2 linked regions of the Bombyx mori genome follow. The protein of the gene in region 1 interacts with the protein of each later gene in a pairwise test. Links are inferred from orthologs where the notes say so. Each region holds a gene or a part of one and is shown on either strand. Other genes may lie near its edges.

Region 1 (9,243 bases):
TCCCGAGGGGGAGGGTGATGGGAGAGATGTGCTCCGCACTAAACGCTTCACTTTCCCCCCCTTGCCTTTTCATGAGTTTTGTCTCATGCGAGGTTTGGACGTTGGTTGTTGAGAGACAGGAGGTTTTAGTCGGTTCGACTCCGACATGCCCCGCCCTCCATCCCCAGTGAAGGGCGGATGTCCAGCGATTTCCTCCTGACAAAAAAAAAAAAAAAATAGGTTTAAAAGGAATGATTTATACATGCTACAAATTCTGCATTTGGATTTACATATTTCTTTAATGCGAGTTTGAACACCGCTGTGCTTTCCTGCCATGACGGCAGCATTATCGTAAGCCTGTCCTCTGCAATTTTTTATGTCTAAACCGTCATTTTCTAATTTCGTTAAAATTATATCTGTGATTTCAACAGCAGTTTTTCCTTTAGTTTCTACAAAGTCAATAAACGATTCTAAAACTAACTAAACTTTAACTTTGCTACCTTCAATAACTACATATCTAATAATTTGACTGGTTTGATCTTTGTGTGAAATGTCAGGAGTGCTATCAAATATAATACAAAAGTATTTAGCCTGCTTTATTTGATCCATAATTGTTTTTCTGACTGCGCCTCTCAATAGCTCTATGAATTCGTTCTGAATCTTCGGCGACAAATAAGAGAGACTATATTTATTACCCATCTTAATTTTTACTACATGTTCTCGTAATACTGGGTCGTACTTAGCCAATAAGTCAACAACCTCGAGAAAATTTCCTCTATTTTCCAGTAAATCGATGTTTTCCTGATGAACACTTTCACGATGTCCTCGAAATGCCAAATTTTGTTTTGCTAAGAATCTAATTATATCAAGTATTCTTGTTAGAATTTCCTTCCATTTTTTTATTTCTTTATCAATATTCTGTTGTTGTAGTTTGTCAATAGTTGCTCCACTTCCAAGTCTTATTTCTAATCCCTTCCATTTGTAATATGATCGGATGTGCAGCGAACTAACCACATGTTGACTAATTTTAGGATTAAGTTTCCACCATTTGTTAAAACCATTTTCCGTATTAAAACCTGCTTGACAAAGATTATCAAACAGTTTGCAGCAGAAACAATAAATACTTTTCTTCGATGGTAATATACGATCTTAAGAGCTTTTCGCCATTAGGCTAAATTTGAAAAAACCAGTCCCGACTCAGTTTTCTTGTTTCACCTTTGGCTTTGCTTGTATTATTAGAACGTTTTAATCCTTCGCTGAAGTCGGCGTCTAAATTTTGAATTAAAAAGGGACCTTGATGTACCAGAATTACTCTTGTATTGTCGTCAATTTTGTTAGGCCATAATCCAATATCTTTCATAGAAACAGACAGAATAATTTGTGCAGCAGATTCTTCATCAGGACTTGATAAACTTTCTACTTCTTCGCCAGTGTGTGAAGCAGGTCTTTCCTCTTGAACAACATTGGATAATGTTTTTTCGCCTTCGAGCGCTGCTTCTTCACCCGTTTTTAAGGCAACAATACTAAAAGAACTAGAAGTTGGCTTATGAGAGATGTATTTGAGTAGTGCTCCAGTGTTTTTAATCTGTATTTCCTCCCTTTTCTTTCTTTTCTTTCTAAATGACGCACCGCTTTCTTTTACTCGTTTCATCCTAGGGATATATAATAAAAATATAACTTGCCGAAATAAATAGTATATTATTTATAGAAAACGGCAAAGCTATTTTACTTCGCTGAATAACATCTATATCTACAATACGTAATACAATATGCTTAACAATTATAAATTCCCCAAATGCACTTGCACCCTAATAATTTGTTTCACTCTTCACTGTTAAAAGATTGAATCGCTAATGAACAAAATGGTTTTTAAGCAATTTATCAATCCAAATACAATTCTTCAAAACGGACTGAGAATATTTATCTATTTGCGAGTTCTGAAATTGTAACTTCGTCAGTATTTTAGTTTTATCTCGTTTAGATTTTGTTGTTTGAAAAAGATAGTTCTTATGCCGGCGCCCTAATGCCTTGCAGACCTAGCAGAGCACCTTCCGCCGGCCCTGTTTTTCAAAAGAAAAATCGATGAATAAAAAAATATTGATATATTACTTCAAAGTAATCATATAAACTTTTCAAACGAAATGACATTTATAAACTGATATTAAAAAATTTTAGTTAGGAAAAATTGCCGAACAAAATCGAAAAGATACTTTTACGAATTCAAAGAATTTTTATTAATACAATAAAATCAAATTATTACCTTGTTCTTGAATTAGCATTCAAAATTTACACTAATATGCATTTATATACACCGATGAATAATATTCGAAATCATATAGTTAATCATAATTTATATAAATCAAATATTAAACTTATAATAATCATAATAATCATTTATTATTCAAGAAAGAAAATAAATATGAAATGAATAAATTGTTTTAAACAACTAAAAGTAAATGCTAAAATGCCGCCCCAGGGTAAGTGCCGCCCGGTGCGGACCGCACCCACCGCCCCCCCCTAGGTACGCCACTGATGCTTGTTAATATTCAATATCATTAAAAATAACTGAATTTATTAAGACCGCGCTAATCATACTTTAACGACTAATTGACCGTCTTCACTGACATATTTTTGTTGAAGTATTGTTGAAGTTTTCAATATTTTTTTGATCTACATAAGAAATATTAGACAGTATAAATGCACTTGTTAACAAAACGCTATTAAATACGATTTTGCCAGTTGACTGAAAATCGGCGCATGCGCAATGTAGGCGTGAGGTGATTGTTTGCTTATTAGATATAAAATAATTAATAATTGAGAATTTAATTATTTTTATGAGCGAACAATCACCAATAGTCGTCGAACAAACGATAATAAATCAAAATTAATTAATCTGAGCAATAAAAATAAAGATATCTAGTATGAGGGGCCAACTTAAGGATGATCATTTGTTTAATTAATTATAAATAAAACGAACAAACAATTTTTACATTCGAACATTAACGAATAAACGACAAACAAATAATTAAAAATAAAAATAAAACCGAAAATCAAAAATGAGGGGCCAAATTCAGTAAGCCTTCTCATTGACAATGTTTTCGAATTTCTGATAGGTCTGTGCTGTGATCGTCATGCACAGATAATACCCATATGTGATGTTTTGAGTTTAAACTTTCAATGAACTAGTAAAAAACGATTTGTATATTTCAATACCTACCTATGTATTTATTCATATTCAATTAATTCAATTACGTGTTATTGTGTGCATTAATAATGGAGGAGGATAAATTCGCGCTGGTTGAAAAAATAATAAAAGATATTGAAAATGTTTTATCGAAAAACGCTGAGTTGTAAATATATTTGGCACAAATTCAAAGATAATCGGAATTTATTTAAATATATTAAAACGTAAAATATTTTCAGGTACGCTTTCGACATAGTTCCAGTGGATAGTAATTTTCGCAATAAAACTCCGGTTCTTCACTTAGAAAATTGCTTAGGGCTGGAGTCGTGGTGTGTTAAGCATGTGTACATGTATTGCTACTCAGAATTAATGGATAAATATTTCTGCAAAACTAAACGTCGAAACAGCACACTCGGCTCTATACATTCGGAAAAACTAGGTCGATTATTGAGTGTAACACTTTTACTGAACCCAGAACTTAATACATTATGGAACAAAAGGCGTGATATGGTACTCAGAAATTTATTAGAAAAAAGTTCAGAGTTGAAATTGACTAGATTAGTATTGTCAAGGAAACCCAAATGTAATGAGGCGTTTGGGTATAGACGATGGTTACTCGAGGCTATATTACAAGGTATAGTGAATAAATGAATTAGTAGATACTGAATTATTAAATTTCCTAAAACACTAATGTTTCAGAACGTTAAAGCTCGTAGTTATAAATTAGATTACAAAAGATACAGTGCACACTAGGCAGTACATTGTCTGTCCGTGGCATAAACACAAGAAATTATGAATTGCTTAATTAATTGTTATCTCAGCCTGTTTTTGTTCATTCTGAGATCATACTTGACTCCAATAATATTTATTGATTTACTCTAGCTTAATTGGATATTTTTCATCTTCCATTATAGCAATATAATAGCTGAAACATAAATACATTATAAGAAAATAGGTAAAATGGATATAAAATGTCTAGTTCTTGATTGTAATAAATAAATTTAATCAGAAAAGAGATAAAAGAAACAATTATGACACATTGAATTTAATATATTGAATTTAAAATACAAGTATTATTTCTAACTACACTAAAGAATTGCCTTCATTTTCAGATGAAAACCTCCAATCAAACTATATCCAGAATCTTGTTAATGAGGAGTTTCATCTCTGTCAAATTGCCTCGGATAAAAGTCCTAATAATTATCACAGTTGGAACCATCGTATGTGGCTGCTTAATACATTAAAGAAAATTACAAATTTTAGCTTGGACCTCTTGTACATCAAAGAATATAATTTCTCGGAAAGATGGACATCAAAACATGTTTCAGATTTTAGTTGTTTTCACTATAGACAATATTGCATAAAAAATGTTATCTTACATTTGAATGATGTATTCTGGAAAATGTTTCAAAACAGCATTGAAATTGATTTACGTAAATGTTTTGTTAATGTTTTGTTAAAAGCTTTACAGAATGATATGACTTTACTGAACGCAGACGATAATTTAATGGAGTACTCTGAAGAAAAGTTAATAAATTTGCTCCTTTCAAATACTAGAAATTGTAACTGTAAACATAATAATGTTTATCTATGTAGAAAATTTGAAGTACTTTTCCGTGAATTAGTTTTAAATAGTGAATTGATACAGTTCTATAAGTGGCATGAGTCACTATGGTACCATAGACGGTACATCGTTCATGAGTTGATCATTTCCATGTATGAATATTTCGGATTGAAGAAGCAGAATGGGGCTCTAGTCAAAGACAATTGTAAGAAATGTAATTCTAATGATTTAAGGCAAAAGCAAGTGAAGATAGTAAGATATGATTGTAATCATGTTTATTCTAGTGCTATATTTAAAGTGCTCATCTCGCATGAAAGAAAGTTCATTGCAGAAAGAAACAGTGATTCAGATAAATTTGCAGAAAGACATGAAAAATACTTGAAATTTGTTGAAGGATTAAATATTGTTATATGAATAGTTCTGTGTTTCTTGTGTGAATTTATGTTTAAACAATTACAAATGCCGTACTTAAACTGGAGTCAAGTTAGGCAAGCAAGCAAGGCTATAGGCTGAATGCTTGGAATCTTTTTACATTTGTAATTGCAGGTATTTTTTTTGAAAATTGTAATTCTAGTTTTGAAACAGGATTTTGTATGATCTAATCAAATAAGATAATGTTATAAAAGTATACCACAATATTAAAAGACATTTTAATTAAAATGATGCCGATTTTTTTAACATTGGACAAGCTTCCTCTCTCCCACTCACCTTGAGATATTAATATGGATTTAGTCTTGATTAGACTCAAATAACGGCTCCAATGGTTCGGATCAAATGGCTACTTCCTATTAAACGAAACGTATGTCTTTCGCGGCAGAAATAGGCAGGACATACTCGTGTGGACGCACAATCCGCTTTATATTGGTCATGGTCCTAATTTAGAAATACTCCGAGTAGTTTTATGTTGTTTCTTACAAAGCGCATTTGATTTGGGACTTTGGATTATTATAATTTTTTTTTATAGGCCGACGAGGCGGCCCACCCGGTGGTGAGTGGTTACCGTCGCCCATGGACTTCAGGAATGCCAATTGCAGAGCCAAGCCGCTGCCTACCGTTAAGTACTTTTTACAAGCCTCGTTTGAAGAAGGGTATGTCATAGCGCTCGGGAAACACCGTGGAGGGGAGCTCATTCCAAAGCCGGATGGTACGTGGCAAAAAAGATCGCAAAAAACGCACTGTGGATGAACGCAGTGGCTGCAGGTAGTATGGATGAACTCTACTCCGGAGGCGGGCGGTGCGATGGTAAAAACGAGATGAAGGTATTATTTCAAACAATTCCGCAGATGGAGCATACGGTACAAAATAGAGAGGGAAACGAAGTCCCTCCGCAGACCCAGAGGTTCCAAACGATCTGTGAGAAAGGGAGTCTCGACAATCCGAAAGGCTCTCTTCTGTGTGGAGTCAAATGGAAGAAGCTGGTATTTGGGAGCCCCGACCCAGAAATGGGATGCCGGACTTGTGCTTTATAAAGCAAAAGTCTTTGTCCAGGCGTGAAGTACCACTTTGCTCTGTTGAGGAATCCGAAGATTTTGGACGCCAACTTGGCTTTGCCTTCCAAATTAAGAACTAAATTAGGAACTAAATCGCATTAATTTTAAGTCGTCGTGACTTAAAGGATAAGACGTCCGTTACATACGTATGTAGCGATGCAACGGTGTTCGAATCCCGCAGGCGGGTACCAATTTTTCTAATGAATAAATACGTACTTGAGAAATGTTCACGATTGTCTTCCACGGTGAAGGAATGACATCGTGTAATAAAAATCAAACCTGCAAAATTATAATTTGCGTAATTACTGGTGGTAGGACCTCTTGTGAGTTCGCGCGGGTAGGTACCACCGTCCTGTCTATTTCTGCCGTGAAGCAGTAATGCGTTTCGGTTTGAAGGGCGGGGCAGCCGTTGTAACCATACTGAGACCTTAAACCTTATATCTCAAGGTGGGTGGCGCGTTTATGTTGTAGATATCTATGGGCTCCAGGAACCACTTAACACCAGGTGGGCTGTGAGCTCGTCAACACATATAAATAAAAAAATCGAAAAAAAAATAAAAAATAAAAATTAGAAAGGAAAAAAAACGAAAAAACGTTATATCTCTGAAAATTTACCCTGGCATGGTCGATTTAACCCGTCAAATAAGGGCAGCGAAAATATGTTTTTTTCCTAGAGTAACGAATGTTTTGTGACAATATGAGGTCGTGTTTATTCCGATTGTTCTGCCTTTAATGAGTGCTATGGCAGACTTCATGAGAGATGGCAACCTTCAAATGAGGTTTGTGAAGAATATTGCGCAGTGGAGGCATAGTTATGTGTCAATGTTGACGTCTGCAGACGGTGGTATCAAAACAAAAAAAAAAAAAAAAACAAAAATGAGGCTTAGACCTTAAATTTCAAGGTAGACCGTGCCATTCACGTTGTCATGGACTTTGGTAAATGCCTATCATGGACTAGGTCATGAGCAGTGTGACTAGGCTATTTAATTCTAAAAAAAATACAAAAGTCACGCTATAAACGTTGAGGCGGCCATTGTATGCTATCGCCAACGTCCTTGTGCTCTATTGAAATATTGAGCACCATCGCACTTGTCTTGTCGATTTGACAGTAGACCTACCAATGCAAATTTTTTTTATTGCTCTTGTAGGCAGATGAGCATACGGCCCACCTGACGGTGAGTGCTTACCGTCGCCCATGGACTTGAGCAATGCCAGGGGCAGAGCCAAGCCTCTGCCTACCGCTTCATACTCTCCACAATCTTTCGACGTGTTGGTATTACTGCTTAGTCGTACCATTTACTGCTGCTGCGTTTGCTGTTTTTCAGCTGTTCTTGATTTTAATTTATGTCTTGTGTCTATGAACTCATATAAACACCTAGCACTAAATATGTACAAATTAAACAGTTAAAAGTAAGGTATGTTCCAACCGTCGAGAAAGTTCGATTGATACAATATGGAATTGCAGGCGTAAAATTGCAACATTTATACCATGTTGATACAATAGTTCACTTCGCGATTTTTTTTTAAATAAAATAAAAAAAAGCTACATATTCCATTCCGTTGCGACCCACAAGGAACGCATTCGCTATGCGTCATGATAATCGCCTTATCGTTGCCGCCGCTGACAACTCCCCGAATCCTGATCATGCAGGAGCCAGTCGCCGTCGACGCCTTAGACGTGTCTACGGATCTATCCTTACGGATCCATCAGATCCAATAACCTTTGCATTAGACGTCTTCAGGTCTGACACTAGGAGCGGGGTCAGGGACCCCGGTAACCGTACTTACTCGTCGAACTCGACAAAGAGGTCGACGTGCAACCTAACCCATGCATCAGCCCGTTGAGTTTTTCACCGGATCTTCTCAGCGGGTCGCGATTCCGATCCGGTAGTAGATTCATTCGCGAAGCAGCTGCTCTTGAGTTGATAGGCCTCCTTCGGAGACGCTCGGGCAGTTGTTAGCAAATCCCATTCCTCCTGGCTGAGCCTTCGCTCATTCACCCGTCCTGGTGAAACTGGAAAGGCCTCCGGGCCACCAGTAATATTTCAATCCTGAGCTAGTTCCAGGACTTGAACTAACTTGGACTAATTGAAGAACATCATGATTTATTTATTATCTATTGTTATCAAAATTAAATTATAAGTTCTTAACATGCCCACGACTATGTGACACCCTCCTGGCGCCAAAGCTGGATCCGCCCTTGTGTGGAGCTTCCCCTCTGAAATAGCACCGCAGTACTTTTCGCTGGGTTGATGTCTATGCGCCATTTTCGGAACCACTGTCCTAGGGATAGAATAAAAAAAAAAACTACCTTACAAAGTTATCAACTTTATTTTATTTACAATGATTTATAAAAAATATATAATATATAATAAAAATATGTTATTTTTTGTACGTTATTAGAAAGTTAAAGTTAGGATGCTACGAATACCGTGGACTGCCATGAGAACAAACGAGTCCATTCTAAGGGAGCTAGACATCCGAAAAAGGCTCTCTTCCATCTGCCGGGAACGTGTTATGAGCTTCTTCGTACACATCATGCGGTCTCCCAGACATGAATTAGAGAAGCTCATAATTACGGGTCGCATAGAGGGCAAGCTTGCCGTGGGCAGAACACCAGCCAGATGGTCAGATCTAGCAAGAGAAGCACTCGGTGGTAGTCTGTACCATGCAGTCCATGCCACCCATGATCGAGCACATTGGAAGTACTTCGCATGTGGTAGCGATCCTCAGTAGTGAGGGAACGATATAGAAGAGAAAGTTAAGTCGTACACTGTGTGCATTACTAATAAAAATCATACATTACGGACGTTTTTTCCCGGTTAGGGTACCCCTCCGCATCGTCCCATAAGAAAATCCCATAAAAATAATGTAAAATTCAGATTACTTTTACCTATTTGCAAATTGGAAAAGAACTCCGTGCATGGCAGATATAGTGGCTCTGAGGCATCGTATGAAATATTAATGCCGTCATCTTCTTTTTTACCACCAAATCATCTGCGATCGGAGCAGTTCACGACTACACA
Region 2 (7,882 bases), on another chromosome or scaffold:
AGCCGATGCGTTAAATCGCTAGCTAAAGTGCTACTATGCCACTAGCGTTATCCGGCGATCGCCCCGAGCTAAAAGCTCTTCAGTACTATTAATTGAATTTGTCAAATTACTACAACTCGACCATTATAACAGACCCGGCTTGCAATTTATTGTATATGTTGCCCGGCCCCAAAAGATTTAGCGGTTGATTCTACCATAAGGTAGAACTCTGAGTGACTAAATATTTTATTTTCCCACAATTTCCAAACGTTAAAACTTTAATAACATAATGTCACAATGACATAAAATCCCTCTGTCACTTTTGACATCTAACTTTAAATGCTGACTGATAACTCATAACGCCATAAACCTAAGAGATAGATAGATAGACTGATAACTCAAAATATTATCATCCCGTTTCAAAACATTGTAGCTTTTAATTTAATGTACATTGCAATAGAATAAAAATTTAAAATGTCTTTTACAACGAAAGATGTTGTCTTAAAAGAAGATCGACCTAAAACTTTACTCTTACAAAAGCACTCCGACTATTTAGCCAGTTACGGCTTAAATAAAGATGACTACGAGTATTGTATGACCGAATATCTAAGAATGTCCGGTATTTACTGGAGTTTAACTGCTATGGAACTCATGGGACAATCATCAAGGTATCAAAAGTATTTATATTATGATTTTTACCCGTTATTAACCTCAATCAATCATATTATTATATCAACCTTAAATCAACATAAACCTTGTAAAATTTGAACAATGAACATGGTTAAAAATTAATTCTTGTATAAAAATAAAGTGAAAGTCGCCTTTGAGAGTCCTACAAGCGTTGTAAAACCTGGAATTTTGTTCCAGGATGCCTAAAGAAGATATAATAGAATTCATTACACAATGCCAAGATAGTGAAAGTGGAGGTATCTCGGCTAGCATCGGACATGATCCACACATACTATACACATTAAGTGCTGTACAGGTAGAACATGAAACAACCAGAAAATCATTTTAAAATTTGAATAAAGTTACGTAATATTTTTATTTTGTTTGTCATTACTTTTATTTGTTAACAGGTACTGGCGATGTATGATAGATTAGATGCTGTTGATATTGAAGGAATTGTCAGATACATAGTTTCCTTACAGCAAGAAGATGGTAGTTTTTATGGTAAATATTATTATCTTCACTTGCTTCTCATAAATAAATCAGAATATAATCTAAAATTTGTTGACTATTCATATCATACTACATTAAAATGAATGAATATTTGTCATAAAATACAAACATTACTATTTACTTTTTTTTAAAGAAAACATTAATTTACTTAATAAATCCAAAGAGCATTTGGTTATAGTATATTAAATTAAAACAACAATATTCTTTGCAATGTGTTGCGAAACATTATATTCCTAATTAAAAAATATTTTTACATTTTAATCTAATCATTTGTTATTTTCATTATTAAGCTGTTATTCATGGACATTTAAATAATGTGCTAAATTTCAACTTATATAATAATTGCATATTGATATTTACATGTACTTTCAAACAGAAAGACATAAGTACACTTTTCTGTAAAATATTTGAAAAGTCGGAATATAAATAATCCCAGTATACTATTTAAACTTTAATGTTAAATTAAAGTCTAAAAAGAAGGTTAATTATGTCTATGAGTCATGAAAACAGTAGAGAATGCTAGATTAAATACCTACCCAAATTATTCAAATTATTTTATGTTGCTTAAAGGAGACAAATGGGGTGAAATAGACACTAGGTTCTCTTTCTGTGCGGTAATGTGTCTATCACTCTTACAACGATTGGATGCCATCGACATCAACAAGACTGTGGAGTTTGTGCTCAGTTGCATGAACTTTGATGGTGGATTCGGTTCCAAACCTGGATCGGAAAGCCATGCTGGTAAGTAATTTCGGATTATTTATTTGGTACATTTTGAGAAATAATTTTAGTTCTGAAATTAAATTCATATCTTTCTCAATATCTAATATATAAAATTCTCGTGTCACAGTTTTCGTTGCCATACTCCTCCGAAACGGCTTGACCGATTTTGATGAAATTTTTTGTGCTTATCCGGTATCTATGAGAATCAGCCAACATCTATTTTTCATCCCCCTAAATGTTAGGGGTAGTCCACCCCTAAATATTTTTTTTATTTTTTATTCAAAATTTTTAATTTCTATTTTTTTATGATACAACATACAAAAATACATACAATCCTCAATTTTCACCCTTCTACGATCAACCCTAATTTTTTATTTGCTAATTAAAAACTTTAAATTTTTTTGCGAGAATTTTGTTTTTATTTTGTCATGACGTAGAATAATAAAATTCATATTACTCTGAAATTTTCACCCCTCTACGATCAACCCCTATTTTTTATCTGTTAACTTTAATTTTTTTGGCAAGATTTTCATTTTTATTTTTATTTTGTCATGAATTAAAATAAAAAATCTGATGTTACTCTCAATTTTTCATCCCTCTATGATCAACCCCTTTTTTTATTTGTTAATTATAAACTTTAATTTTTTTGTCAAGTTTTTTATTTTGTTTTGTCATTACTTAAAATAAAAAAAAATCATATTACTGTCAATTTTCACTCTTATACAATCAACCCCTATTTTTCCATCCCGATTAATTTTTTTTTTATTCTATGCACAGATCTGCAATAAGTTTGCAAGATGGCAATCAAATATTATAATTGTAGTACGATAAATTCTTATTCAGAGTTTATAATTTCAAGTTCTTCAATTATGATTTTTTTTAAATTCAATTTGATCTCCCGCCCTCGCCGGTCGACTACTGATCAACTATCAATCGATCAGCTATCCCCGCCAGGTGTCACCACTCATCCAGCAAACATCACGTAGTAGGGATGAGGACGAAGCCGGTCTCCTGTCTTACTTACTCACTATACATCATAGATTTATACACTTAATATATTTAAGAGCTATATACACAATACTATACATTTTTCAGCCGTGTTTTTTTGGTTTTATTTGTGTATCAATAGTATGTTCAGTAGATCTGAGAATCGGCTACTATCTATTTTTCATACCCCTAAGTGAAAAGGGTTGTCCACCCCAAACATTTACTTTTTATTTTAATTTTTTGGATTTTTTTTTTGTTTATAATGAGGTATTATGTGGTTAAATGAGGTTTTTTTTCTACAGTAGAATTTCTCTAGAAATCTTATTTAAGGCAACACAACGTTTGCCGGGTCAGCTAGTTATTAATAAAATTCTGTAGACTAGCCATCTTAATATAAAACAAGATATTTAAAAAATGCTTGAATGTATTTTACAAGCTCCAAACAAATTTTGGACGTCCGGTCTAGCAAATTTTTTACCTGTAAAATTTATGGTAATTATTATTTCGTGGATACGAGTACGTGTATATGAGTAATTCGAAAAGTGTTTTTTTTTTCAAAAACTAGTAATTCCATTTAAATTTCTGCAGGTCTAATTTACTGCTGTGTGGGTACACTGTCGATATGCAAGCGCATGGATGCCCTACACGCAGACGAGCTGGCGTGGTGGCTATGTGAACGACAGCTGCCCAGTGGTGGTCTGAATGGTCGACCGGAAAAGCTGCCAGATTTGTGCTACTCTTGGTGAGAACTCTTTTCACTATAATGTTTTTATATAGAGACTATATGTTTTTACTTCTCAGATTGTTGAACTGGCTCACCTAGGTTAAAGTGGTTATTGCCGCCCATAGATGTGGAGCAACTTTTTTTTTATTGCTCAGATTAATTCACGAACAACCTAGCGTTGAGGGATTACGGGAGCCAATAGATATCAGCAACGTAAATGTCGCCACCTACTTTGAATGTGATGAGTTTCCCAACCTTGGACAGGTTGGTAGTACTTATCGGTGGCTATCTAAGCTCACAAGACGACCTACCTCCAGTAAAAAGCTTCAGGTCTATAAATATGTATTAATTTTTGTATAAATTATGGGAAACTTATATCTTAAAACTGTTGTAAAAGGGTTCGGATCTACCGATGTATAGTCCCCGGCACGTAACTTGGCAAGATTCGTTAGATGCGCAGAAGTCGTTTTTTAGGTCTCTTTGGTTGTCAAGCGGGACGCGGGGAAAGACGTAGCACCGTTCCGAGCGCGCGATTGGTGAGTCAGTCGACGCTCCCCTCCCGCACCAATGACCATATAGTAGATTCAGTCACTGAGCGTTTTATTATTTACGCCAGTGACGACAGCGACTCTTCGTTATGTCGACGATGAGGAGCCAACTCCTTTCACCAGCTCAGGTGCTACCATAAATTTAATCCAAGGGGTAGCACTATTAGAAAATGATAGTGACGACGCCGCGGCGACACATAATTTTGAATATTAAATATATTTTTTAAAATAAACTTCTTAACTTTTAATTCTATTTTATTTATAACGCCTAATACACTTCACGAATTCCTCTCTTTTCTTTAACTTTCTTCAAAATACACAGGCTTAAAAATAAGTTATGGCAAATAAACAATAAAATAAAATTAAATTATATGCGGCAATAAACCATTTTTTGTTGCAATGTGCACTATGCGCGACATTACCCCCACTACACCAAAACCTTGCCAACTTACGTGCCGCTTACTATACCGATGTTCGAATCCCGCAGGCGGGTACCAATTTTTCTAATGAAATACGATTAACAATTGTTCACGATTGACTTCCATGGTGAAGGAATGACATTGTGTAATAAAAATCAAACCCGCAAAATTATAATTTGCGTAAAACCTGGTGGTAGGACCTGTTGTGAGTCCGCACGGGTAGGTACCACCGCCCCGCCTATTTCTGCCGTGAAGCAGTAATGCGTTTCGGTTTGAAGGGTGGGGCAGCCGTTGTAACTATACTGAGACCTTAGAACTTATATCTCAAGGTGGGTGGCGCATTTACGTTGTAGATGTCTATGGGCTCCAGTAACCACTTAATATCAGGTGGGCTGTGAGCTCGTACACCCACCAAAGCAATAAAAAATAAAAAAAAAACAACGGCTGCCCCACCCTTTAAACCGAAACGCATTACTGCTTCACGGAAGAAACAGGCAGGGTGGTGGTACTCACCCGCGCAGACTCGCAGGAGGTCCTACCACCAGTAAGTGTGTACCACCAACTGTAGCGACTGCCATAAAAAAATGATTGTAAAACTATCGGAATGATCACATAATTTTAAAATTACAGGTGGGTCATGTCTTCACTTTCAATGCTGAATAGAATTCACTGGGTAGACAAGAAAAGCTTAGAAGAATTTATCTTAGCATGTCAAGATAATGAAACTGGTGGCTTTAGTGACAGGCCCGGAGACATCACAGACCCATTCCATACATTGTTTGGTCTGGCAGGCCTTTCATTACTAGGCAACACCAGTATAAAACCTGTTAACCCCACATACTGCATGCCACAGGAAACAATAGACAGGCTGAAACTAAAACCACAGATACTGCAAATTTAATTTTAAGGATAAATGTTTTTTTATTGTATGTTTACATTTGACGTGAATAAACTATGTTATTTAATTTATTGGGATATTGTGTTATTTATAAAGCTATTGTTCGTAGCGAAGTGTCTATATGGTTCATAACAATAACATGATTGTTTGAGCTTAGAAAATCGATATTCAATTTGTATGTCAATATTTTACATAGTGGCAGTAGTCTGGTACCTAAATAGTTAATGACACTACATGCTAGTTTAGTCAATTATTAGAAAAGTAAATGCTAGGCTAACGCTATCCAAACAAAACATTTCATAACAAAGTAACTTCTTGTAACATGATTTATGTACTTGACTCGGTTAACTCGGCTCTAGGCTGGGCTCTAGGATGCACTTCCCCTTCCATATTACCCAAGAGCATACATCCTGGGCCTCAGACACGTCCTTACGGATCCATCAGATCCATTCACTAGGAGCAGGCTTAGGGACCCCGGTAACCGTACTCGTCGCAACCTAACCGGAGTCTTCTCGGAATAAACCGAATCTTTTCAGCGGGTCGCGATTCTTATACGGTAGTAGATTCATTCGCGAAGCAGCTGCTCTTGAGTTGTTAGCAAATCCCACCTCTCCTAGTTGAGCTCGTGCCCGCCCACCTGTCCCGGTGAAACTGGAGAAGGCTCCGGGCCACTAGTAATCCTTCAATCCCAAAAAAAGTATACAACCTGCTTTAAAGAAAGTTTGAAAATATTCTCAGCAGTTGTCTGAAACGCCTGAAAGAACTGATGTCCGACAATCAATACTGGATACCCATTGCCTATGGTTGACACTCCAATTTTTTATATATCTAAAATATTACTATCGGCTTCTTGCGATGCCCACTGTCGAAACTAAATAAATATTTATGAATACATACTTTGTTCTATGAAAAGGGAACTGAATTGATTGAAACGAAATGCGATGACGTGACCAAGATATCTCAGTAATATGTTGGGAATTTCTTGACTTCAATAGACTTTTTGAAAGAACACGAGGAGCCTCGTTCGGAAATTTTGTTTCTTTTTCGCAAACTTGTGAAAGTCTACCGCACAGATGCTGAGCGGTTAACTGCTTTGATAGACTGTAAGTAATCACAGTCACTAGTTAACATCAGCAATAACAGGGGCAAAACCAAGCCGCTGCCTTTTGACATTATTATTCGTTTAAAGTTAAAGAAACACAACAAATGGACATAATGAAACAGTTCACTGTTCGTGTTCCTGCAAATAGGTTCATCTGATTTCGTAAGTAGAATGGAATGAACTAAATACTAACTTGGCTGTATAAATAAAAAACTCGTCGTTGAATGGCTTGTCATAACCAGTTTAAATTGTAAACATAACCTTTAAATTAAATTCAGCAAAATACCTACCTATTTCAAAATGAACTTTATAATGATTAGAACGTATTTAAAATAAGCACCAATATTAAAATGAACTTTTCATACTGTGTACAATTTTTCATATTTAGCGTGTGTGTTCATATAGTCACATTGTTCACATATATAATTTACTATAGCGATATTTTCGCATCAATTTATCTAAAAACAGTTGAAACGGAATATGATTATATTATTGGTAAGTGAATTTCTCGTATTTCTTTATATTTTGTCCTACTACTTATCAGCTCAACCCCATACCTGCTCTAGTTTATTTTCCTTCTGGTTAAAACATATACCAGCGAGCATTAAACTTAATAAGTATATGTTTTTAACTTAAAAAAAATAATGAAATCAAACGATTAATAAATTGAGGTTCATTCTTGAGAAAAAATTTTTGTTTGTTAGTATATAATTAAATATAATCGAGCTCTGATTAAAGCTAATTAAACTATATAGCTGAGTAATGTTACTGAGTAAAATAAAAAATAAAAAAACAATAATCACAAACAGCTACCTGGAGCCACCGTGTTCATCCACAGTGCGTTTCCAGAGATCTTCTTTGTCACGTACCATCTGGCTTTAGAATGAGCTCTCCTCCATAGTGTTTGAGCATTATGATATGTTCTTCTTCAAATAAAGCTTGTGGAGAGTATTAAACGGTAGGCAGCAGCTTGGCTATGCTCCTGGCATTGCTGAAGTCCATAGGCGACGGTAACCACTCACCATCAGGTTAGCCATATGCTCATCTCCCTACAAAGCCAATAAAAAGAATAATAATAACTTACTCTTGAATATTGCAGTTGGATCTGGCACAGCTGGCTCCATAATAGCACATCGCATAGCCACAGAGACTAACTACACATATATAGTATTGGAAGCAGGAAGCAAGGGTCATGGTTTACTGGATATTCCTGTTCTTAGTCCCTTTCTACATAAATCGGTTTATGATTGGAACTATGAAACATCACCACAGGAAAATGCTTGCTGGGGCATGGTTGACCATGTAAGAATGCTCTCCAAA

The links.
Region 2: the proteins of protein prenyltransferase alpha subunit repeat-containing protein 1 (region 1) and geranylgeranyl transferase type-2 subunit beta interact in a two-hybrid assay, tested with the Drosophila melanogaster proteins (2 studies listed by BioGRID). The link is inferred for Bombyx mori from reciprocal best matches to the Drosophila melanogaster genes temp and RabGGTb.

What each region holds. Positions count from the first base shown.
Region 1 is NC_085127.1:9,749,700-9,758,942, forward strand, and holds protein prenyltransferase alpha subunit repeat-containing protein 1, read left to right. Parts: upstream 1-3,110; 5' UTR 3,111-3,252; coding exon 3,253-3,329; intron 3,330-3,402; coding exon 3,403-3,797; intron 3,798-4,275; coding exon 4,276-5,141; 3' UTR 5,142-5,387; downstream 5,388-9,243.
Region 2 is NC_085123.1:2,129,652-2,137,533, forward strand, and holds geranylgeranyl transferase type-2 subunit beta, read left to right. Parts: upstream 1-290; 5' UTR 291-453; coding exon 454-647; intron 648-846; coding exon 847-964; intron 965-1,058; coding exon 1,059-1,152; intron 1,153-1,731; coding exon 1,732-1,902; intron 1,903-3,459; coding exon 3,460-3,613; intron 3,614-5,192; coding exon 5,193-5,463; 3' UTR 5,464-5,531; downstream 5,532-7,882. Other genes in the region: glucose dehydrogenase [FAD, quinone], read left to right, coding at 6,913-7,057, 7,662-7,864.